Linked DNA regions of Neurospora crassa OR74A. The main gene of each other region encodes a partner of the protein of the gene in region 2 in a complex. Links are inferred from orthologs where the notes say so. Each region holds a gene or a part of one and is shown on either strand. Other genes may lie near its edges. The genes, in order: NCU03029 and NCU07710.

Region 1 (4,586 bases), on a different chromosome or scaffold from region 2:
GACAACAGGCCGCCAGAGGAGAGGTATGCTGAGCAGCTGCGTCAACTCAACGATATGGGTTTCTTCGATTTTGATCGGAACGTTGCTGCACTACGCCGCAGCGGTGGTAGCGTACAGGGTGCTATCGAACATCTTCTGGGCGGTTCTTAACTTAAATTTCTTTACTAGACGGTGCAGAGATGTGGACCGGAGATTGACAGTTATCTGCTGTTCCTCAAGGATACGGCGGTATTCACAATGAACGACAGAATGTCGAGGGGATAGTGGATTGAAGGATGTCCAGGGAGTGCAGTGTTATCTCCTGGCGAGGTCATTGTTGGGCCGTGCTAGATATATTTTAATCAAATATCTAGCGATAATGGTTGCTCAGGAGGACGATAGACAGTCCAGCACAGAGACGATGCTCAAAACAACACCCCTTCAGCGGGTGTCCTCACGTAAGGAGGTTTACATGTTTACAGTTTAGCGATCTTTATCAAACATGTCTCCTCTTGCTTGAATCAACAAGGTTCTTTTGTCCTCTAAGAAGACGAGTTCGCATACAGTAGCCGGGCTAACTATCAACACCACTAATCAACTCTTATTTGCATGCTATCATTCCCTCTACCGATAAAGCACCGTCAAATCCCCAGCCGGCACCGGAAAGTTCCTCAATTTATCCATAATCTCCGCGTCCGTCATGTTCCTCTCCGTCATGATCTGATCAAAACAATGTCGTCCATCCATATACTTTTGCAACGGATCCCCACTAGCCTTCATCATCATCGCCATCTTCTTGCTGTTCGACCCCTTCCCCCCCGGACCCCCATGACTCCCGGGTTCACGATAGGTATCATAATGTCCGCCCGGCACCGCCACTTTATGTTCCCTCCCCATTTCCCCTTCGCCATACCCCCTCCCACTTTTCCCTTTGCCTGTGCCAGTTCCGGTGTCGGATGGCGAAACAGGTCTAGCCAACCCCGTAGCTAGCGCAGCCAGATACTGTTTCGAGATAACATACTTGTGCACCCTGTACAAACACCCCTTGATGACGCCAAATTGAACTAAGCGGCGAACGTCCACGTACCGTAGGACGTCGAAGCCGGAATCCATATGGCCCTTGAGCCATTCGGCCACGGTTTTGCCGACGCAGAAGGTAGTCATTAGGCGGATTAGCATGTAGTTGGATATGCGGTATCCGTTGGGTGGTGGGGGCTTGTTAGACGGTGGGGAGGAGGAGGAGTGGATGTTGGAGGAAGGGTTGCGGGGGGAGGTGGAGGGCTTTCGTTCGTGGACGGGGGAGAGGTGGTGTTGGGCGTAAGGGCTGGGATCGCGGTCGGAACCACCTCCTGGGCCAAGGCCAAAGGGGGAGAGGTGGCTGTGGCGTGTGCTGGCAGAGGTGGAGAGGTTGGAGGGATTGTGGTTGTGGAAAGTGGTGCTTCCTGACACAGAACGGAGACGGTGGTAGTTGTCGGAGGAAGAAGAAGAAGAAGAAGGTCCGGCGCCGGTGCCGGTGTTGTTGCTGCTGCTGGGAGACGGATCGATAGGTCCGACGCAGACGTAGTTAGCACATTCGTCGACCATGCCGCCTACGTTGGCGATGAAGTCGTGGATGCCCGGGCGAGGGGCGTAGCACGCGCCGAACAAGAACATGTCTAGGAGCAGGATAGTGTCGTAGTAGAGCAAGTGGCGGAGGGCGAGCTGGGTCAGCTCGAGGGAGACGCCGGAGGCCAGAGCAATGCGGCGCACGTCGGAAACGCCATCGATATGAGCGACGACGCGCTGCAGGGTTAGATCCCAGGTTGGGTCGACGACGTCGGCGAACTTCATCTTGGCGACGGGGACGTGCCAGCCTTTGACTTCAGGGGGGTTGACGTGGTGAGGAAAGAGTTTCATGTTGATTGTGTTAGCGTCGTCTGTTTTGAAACGGTCAGCATTTTTTGTAACTAAGGTGATGAAGGGGGGTGAATAGGTAGGGAGATATACCAATGGGAATCATGCACTCTCCATAGTTATTCAGATCCTCCTTCACAATCTCCAGCAACGATTCTATCGGCCGCCGCATACTCACCATTTCATTCCCGTCCCCATCCACCCAACGGCCCCCGCCATTGCCATACCCATGAACCGCGACCGCTCCGCCCCTCGTGGCCGCGTCCTGGCTCAGGTAGCCGTCCTGCTTCTCCATCTCGGCAAAGGTGGCCGCCAGCCTCCTTACGACGCGTTCATAGGGGATCTGGTCCACCACATCGCAACTGATGACGAGCCCAAAGTTGAAAATGAACTCGTTCCGGTCGTACCGCGGGTCCGGAATGGAGACGGGGTATCCCAGGATGACGTACTTGCCGTCCGGGTCATTGACGGTGATGAAGCGGTTGCAGAAGGCCTTGCGCGGGATGATGTACTCCTGGAGCACGCTGAAGTCGAAGAGACATGGTTTCCTGTTGAGGGGACCATTGGTGCCTTCTGGAAGTGGAACTGGCACGATTGAGCCCGGTGGACTTTGTGCGACGATTTTGGTTCCTGAGTTAGGGAAAAGTGCCACTGGTTAGCTTGAGATTCACTACACTTCGTCTTTGGGCTGTCTTGGCCAGACCCAATAAAAATGGGTGGGCAAATGACTTTGATGAGTGACGGGCAAGGCAGGCTATATGTACCCTCTTTTGGAAAGAACCTGGCATAGAAGATTGCTTGAATCATGATTTAAATGATTGTTGTCGAAACCCAGGGTCTTCTTGGTGTTGGGAAAAGCGACTTTGGATTTGACGCCGAGACGAGTAATATGGTCTCATCGGATGTTACCGGCGCTCATTTCTATCGGTTGGTTCTACCGAGTAGCGTATAGATGTCATCCGAATCTGAAGTAGAATGAAATTGCTTTTGAGAACAATGATCAGACACTTTGCAAACCAAAGATGACGTTAGCATAGTAGTCGTCGCCGTGGTCGGTTTGCCAGAAGTTGTCACGTATTGTGTTTTGTCTTGGGAAAGGTGCCTTGGTGCTACGAGGTCAATGGCTGCTAGTGTGTACCTCACATATAACCCTAACCCCTCCCACAAAAACAGAGAACACATAACCCCTTTTCGACTTCAGCATCGGAGGACCCAGGAATGAACGCTAACTATCCGTGTATTTCAAAATGTTTGCTTGAGAAACATCATGATCATTCTGGAAATACCATATTGTCGTTTGTGTTTTTCATATTGCGGGGCTCCACGGTATTGACTATGATGTCCAAAAATCGGGTATTCTCATGCTTCTATCTTACAAAATATGTATGGGGAGTAACGCTTTTGTCCAACCAATCCAACCTTTATGCCTTTTCTCTGTGCCACCCTACCATGCGAATAGAATCTTACACATTCTCTACCACTTATACGGATCCCTATCATCTTGAGTCTGCTTCTTCACCCCATCTCCCCGCACAGAGGGTTTTTCGTCCATCATGCCATCAATCGTTTTTACTGAGGCAATCATCTCCTGCTTAAGCTTGGTCTCCATATCCTTCTTTTGCCTGCTCTTTTCCTCAGGGAAGATAATCTGCTGGCCCTGCTGCTTCTCCTGCGAACTCTTTTGCAGCTCGTTCACAGCATTCTTAGCCTCTTCAGGGGTCAACTTCTTCTCTTTGAGGTTCTTCATAATCTCATTCAGTTTCCTGACAGCGCCGGTAAAGCTCTGTCCGGGGTACGTCTGGCCCGAAGCAGCATACTCGACGTCGCTGACCATCTGGATTACACGCACGTTGTGCTTGCCCTTGCGGAGGATTAGCAGGTTGCCGTTAATCAGGTAGCGCTGGGTCTCGCCGGGGAACCACAGCTTGACGGGCATAAAAGAGATGAGGTCCGGGTTCATGGTGACGTTCTCGCCGCCGGCTCTGTGGGCTCCGCCGACGTAGCAGCCCTGGGCAGCCGCGAGCTTGTGGCCCTCGGTGGTGCTGCTGGCGAGACCGGCGGCGTAGAGGATGCGGCCGATAGACTTGCCCATGATGAGCGACTCGGGGAGAATCATGTCGATACGGGGCGCGTTGTTGAGGGTGACAGGCTGATCTGAAATCGTCTTGTACTGATCGCCACCGGTGGCTGCGTCCTTGGCACGAGAGACTTGGGGAATGGTCATCTGGCCGGTATACATCATACGATGCTGGTCCTCGGCGGCGCTGGCCTCCTGTTTACCGTGCACCAGCGTCACAACCTCACGCGCAAGGGTATGTTGCGCGACACGCTTGCTAGGGTCTTTGATGTGCTCCTCCATAGTCTTGGTGATTTCGCTGATGGGCATGAAAGTGAAGAGCTTGAGGAGATTCTCAACCTCTTGGTCGGACCGGCGGACAAAGTAACCATAGAAATCGAAGACGGAGGTCTGATAGGGGTCAAGCCAAATGGCGTTACCCGCACTCTTACCAAACTTGGCACCGGATGAATCGGTCAAGAGAGGGACGGTGAAGCCGACGCATTCGTCAAGGGCAGTCTTGGGCGTAACATATTTGCGCTCCTGCGGGTCGGGCTCGGATTCTCGGGCGGCCTTGACGACCTCGAGACCAGATATGATGTTGCCGTACTGATCAGAACCTCCAATCTGCATCTGAACTCCCTGCTGGTAGAACAAC
Region 2 (4,481 bases):
GCTGCGACGGCAGAACTTAGCATTGAAAGTGTGAATGCTGATAGATCATTGGCATCTTCAAGGGCTTTGATGAACGCGGGCACTGTTGCAACTCCAGCCAAAGCAGCAATCAACCGGTCAATGTCGCCCCAGATGTTCGCGAGTGGAACTCCCGTTTTCTCCCCTTGGGGCGCTACACCAGGCTCATTCGCGCCCAGCCATCAGTACTTTGAGGGTACTCCAAGCCGGCCGATGCCAATCAAGTCGCAACAGATTCCTACTGACCCTGCAGCCAACATGCTATCAGGCTCGATGCTTGCCTCAACACTACGGGCCGATTACGTTCCTGATAATCGCGATCTCTTCTATTCAGATGCAATCAGAGCTGAGGATGCGAAGAAGGTTTATAATAACAAGCTTTTGGCCGGAGCGGTACCGGAATTACCGTCAACTTTATCGCCGACAACCGCGCTGTCACCTTGGCTGACGTTGGTCAACCCGTCGAACCCTGATAGCAACAAGGTCGATATTGCCACGTTGTACAGTCGTTGGCAACATGTGTTTCCTAGGCCAAACGAGACGCGGGTGATGAAATGGAAGTCTTTGTGCTCCCCCGCTGCCGTTCCACTAACCACAGAGTACTTCCCTACCAAGGCACAGTTCGAGTCAGAGTACCACCGTCAACCGTATAATGTCTCGCAAAATGCTGATGATGAGCTGGCCGAGGAACCCAAGTCACGCGACGAGATGCTGCGCGAGATGATCAGTCTCAGATTCTGCCAAGGATTCCAGGTCGTTGTAGGCCCAGCTGTTGCCAAAGCCTTTGGCCAGAAGCAACTCAAGGTTACCGACATATTCTCCCGCGACCACACAGCAGAGGATGGTACAAGCATCTTCATGTCGGTCGGCAACACGATCCACCAACTGTCGTGTGTGAATGGCACCGAAATTGAAGTTAATATCTTTGTCCGGAAGCCGATCGCCTCGGCGGGACTGTACAATGACCGTTACTTGTACAAACCGGCGATACGAACTCTACTTGACCACGGTTACAAAACCCGTTCTTATGACATGGTGGCCCCAACGCCTGATCGGAACTGGAATTACGTCGATGCCTTTGTTGCAGGGCATAATGACGAGTTGTCCGAACATTTGAGGTTTTGGCGCGCTAGGTTCGTCCTGATACCAATGACAGCCAGACACTCGTTTTTCCCCAAGACGCAGTACGGGGACAGTGAAGAAGAGATTCGCATCGAAGGCATTCGGAAGCTTGCGCAGATGTGGCAGAAGCACAGGTATATCCCGGCGAGCGAACGGAGCTTTCAAGCATCGCGTCGCAAAAAGGACATGAATCCCCTTGATATCGTTTACAAAACAGAAGATCCATCCGTAGTTATTGCGGCCGAGCTGGAAACGCTTCCGTTGTTGGAGGGCCTGGAAGGCGGGCACAGGAAGGGTCAGCTGGTCACGAGCAGAGAGCAATTTTCGAAGAAGAACTTCAGCCTGGCAGCATTGGCAGAGGCTATCCAGCAGCCCGTGGAAAATGGAGGCATTCGAATGCAAAACCGGCGCTGGCATTTGCGCCTCCATTACAACTGCTTCATCGGCTCTGACATGACCACTTGGCTCCTGGAGAACTTCGAAGACTTGGAGGACAGAGAGGAAGCCGAAGAGCTTGGTAACCGTCTCATGGTCACTTCAGATGATAAGTCGAAGGATGAAAGCAAAGATGGGAGGAAGGATGGCGGTGGACTCTTCGTGCACGTTGAGAGGCGACATCCTTTCAGAGATGGCCAGTACTTCTACCAGATCAGCAGCGACTATGCGAAACCCAACCCTCCAGGCTGGTTTAACACAAGGCGGGTTCCAGTGTCTGTCCCATCAACACCGCATTCGGAAGTACGGGATTCACCAAGGTCCAATGTGTCGATGTCAAGACCAACATCTATCCACGAAGACAGCTCTCCCACCTCTGGAACGGTTACCCCAACGGCAGCTATGATGGCGGGTGGCAAGAAGCCCAGGGTGGTTCTGAGTAAGGTCATGAAATACGATGTTGACCATCGAAAACGCTCTTACCGGCCCGAGGTGGTCGATTTGCATTACGACAGACTTCACAACCCCGACAATTGTTACCATATCCGGATCGACTGGATGAACGTAACAGCCAAGTTGATCGAAGATGCTATTGAGGCATGGGCTCGCGAGGCAGCCTTGTACGGGCTCCGGCTCGTTGAGGTTCCTATCAACGAAGCTTGTGATATAACGGAAATTAACCCGTTCCGCCGACCGTACATGATCAAGCTGGCTGTCCAGCCACCAAACCAACAGCCCATCACCTACTTTGATCCCAATTCGTTTACTCCGCAAGCACAGCCAGGGCGGCACTTCTATCAGAGGGCTCTCCTGAGAAAGTTTGACTTTGTTCTCGACATGGAGCCAGCGTCCAGCTTCCCCTATACCGTCGACGTGTCGTACTCATGGGGCAAGCCGGACTTTAAATACACGCAGTTCATCCACCGCTCCGGTACTCTCATTGCTGAAATCACCGACGAAGGCGACATCCTGATCTTAGCCAACCGTCTCTATAGCAACCGCACGGCGGCCCAGCGTGAGAAGGAAATGCAGCAGAAGGGAGGCGGATCCGGTGCCGGGGGCGACAACCTCGGACTCGGTCCCGGTCCAGGCCGCATCTCAACGCCTGGTCTCTACGGACCAAACGCTCACCCAGACCAGCCAAACGCAGTCTCCTCCCCGCTCGTCAAACCCACAACAGCCTTCCTCTCCCCCGCGCTTCGGCCGCACCTCATCGGGCCCCTGGCCAGCGGCCCCCCATCAACCAACGGATTCGGCACCACAGGCCAACCCCTCAACCGATCCACCGTCACCGTCCCCGTAACGCCCGTCATCCAAGACCCTGAGGTTATCAAAGACGAGCTCGAATCCTTCTGCCGCGACCGCTCCGCCCTCGAGGCCTTTTACCGCGAATTGCTCGAGCGCGAAGCGCACCCGCCCGCACCCAACACCACGCCCGGCCTTGCGCCCGTGAAGATCCCGTCGACCACAGCGACGAAGGACTCAACCCTCGCCTTCGCTACTCCTCACCTCGGCGCCGGTCAAAATACTACCAGCACGGGTCACACGGTTCCCGATACGAACATCCCCAGCCTCGGCCTTCCTCCGGGCGTGCTAGCAGCAATAGGCGGCACCGGCCTGAGCAATCTTAGTGACTTGCAGCTGGTAGGTAGCGGGACTGGGCTGGGAATCAGTCCTGTACGAGTGGGAAGTCCGAGCTTGTTGTCGGCTGCGTCGGCTGCGTCTGCGGGCCACCCCTCGCACTCGACGATGATGAGGAGAGCGAGCGTGCAGGAAGGGGTTATGGGTAGTAGGATTGGTTTGGGCTTTGGGGGAGGTGCGTCAGCTGCAGCTGCAGCTGCTCAAGCGGCGGCGGCAGCGGCAGCGGCAGGAGCTTCGGGAGCGGGAGCTGCTGGTAGTAGTTCTGATGCTGGTGGTGCCGGAAACATTGGTGGTGGTGCTGGCGGAGATGCAGGTGCTAGTGAGCACTGAAGGAGAGCGTGGGAGGTGGCAAGAGGGGTGTGAAAGGGGGGAAGGTGGAATAAGATGGGTTTGAGTAGTTTGATGGTCATGGATGGTACTTGAGAAGATGTAAAATCATGTATGGAGATCGAATAAATCATGACAGACAGTGGAACATGGTTTCAAGTATACTAAGTGGAAGTATCGCTATATATTGTAAAGGTGCTTTGATGCCATCCCAGGTAGTCACTACCTTGGAGAGCTTGGATAGCGAGCATTCAAGTATGATGGGTGATACTCCACTTTCGTGAGATACTGTATCTTGCTTGCTGTCAGTCAGGTCGCACAACATCTTGAAAGTCGCAACTATTTCTGGCTAGGATGATCGCTATCGAGGACTAACGACGAATTCGCATCCCTTGGTGGTCACTGCTTCTTTCACCATAGAGACCCGCCTGCATGAAGGTATGTAAAGCTTCCGTATAACTCCAGTCCGCAACACCAATTCGCAGGTATCTTTGTCGTGGACTCGCACTAAATTGCCAACATATGTAACTATCCTTCCGTTTCAGGATAGGTAGCAGGACTGAGCAAACTGTCCAAAGAGAAAAAGGAATCTCGATGAGGTGCAGCACGGTCAAGTACGTCCTACCCCATCCGCACTGCATCGCATCACCAAAATCCATGTCGCTCGCAGACAAAAAAAAAAGATGACGCAAAAAAGATGTTTCAACCTCCCTCGGTAAGGATCGAACTTACAGCCTCCAGATTAACAGTCTGACGCGCTAGCCAATTGCGCCACGAGGGAATGTTTCTCAATTGCTGAAAGTTTGTCATTGATCAGGGGTTTATATCTTCCAATGAAAATGACAACGTATCTTCGTTCATGCTATTCCCTCCATGTTCGATTCTCGTCTCTCCGTTTTTCCTACGATGTTCCTTATTGTCTATCCCATTCGATGGAG

Evidence for each region.
Region 1: the proteins of NCU07710 (region 2) and NCU03029 are in contact, whole or in part, in a cryo-EM structure (PDB 8AE6), measured with the Saccharomyces cerevisiae proteins. The link is inferred for Neurospora crassa OR74A from reciprocal best matches to the Saccharomyces cerevisiae genes IML1 and NPR2. Residues at the interface, in NP_012672.1 of Saccharomyces cerevisiae: Glu288, Asn291, Phe292, Glu293, Glu294, Thr295, Gly296, Glu297, Gln298, Phe300, Gln301, Asn305, Pro309, Phe339, Lys340, Pro344, Trp367, Val368, Met371, Glu372, Arg375, Glu376, Met379, Pro403, Ile405, Lys406, Leu445, Pro476, Leu477, His478; in NP_010852.4 of Saccharomyces cerevisiae: Pro106, Arg110, Met114, Val117, Leu118, Glu120, Gln121, Asn122, Glu220, Gly221, Asn222, Ala223, Asp225, Lys227, Phe229, Pro234, Pro235, Ser247, Ser248, Val249, Asn250, Lys253, Ile254, Ile255, Asp256, Val257, Asn258, Trp259, Asp260, Pro261.

Annotation. Positions count from the first base shown.
Region 1 is NC_026501.1:8,388,700-8,393,285, reverse strand, and holds NCU03029 (hypothetical protein), read right to left. Parts: upstream 2,961-4,586; 5' UTR 2,680-2,960; coding exon 2,637-2,679; intron 2,503-2,636; coding exon 1,966-2,502; intron 1,896-1,965; coding exon 604-1,895; 3' UTR 432-603; downstream 1-431. Other genes in the region: NCU03028 (deubiquitination-protection protein dph1), read left to right, coding at 1-150; cyt-18 (tyrosyl-tRNA synthetase), read right to left, coding at 3,347-4,586. UniProt on the Saccharomyces cerevisiae protein: Component of the SEA complex which coats the vacuolar membrane and is involved in intracellular trafficking, autophagy, response to nitrogen starvation, and amino acid biogenesis. Mediates inactivation of the TORC1 complex in response to amino acid starvation.
Region 2 is NC_026504.1:2,119,175-2,123,655, reverse strand, and holds the end of NCU07710 (vacuolar membrane-associated protein iml-1), read left to right. Parts: coding exon 1-3,546; 3' UTR 3,547-3,703; downstream 3,704-4,481. UniProt on the Saccharomyces cerevisiae protein: Component of the SEA complex which coats the vacuolar membrane and is involved in intracellular trafficking, autophagy, response to nitrogen starvation, and amino acid biogenesis.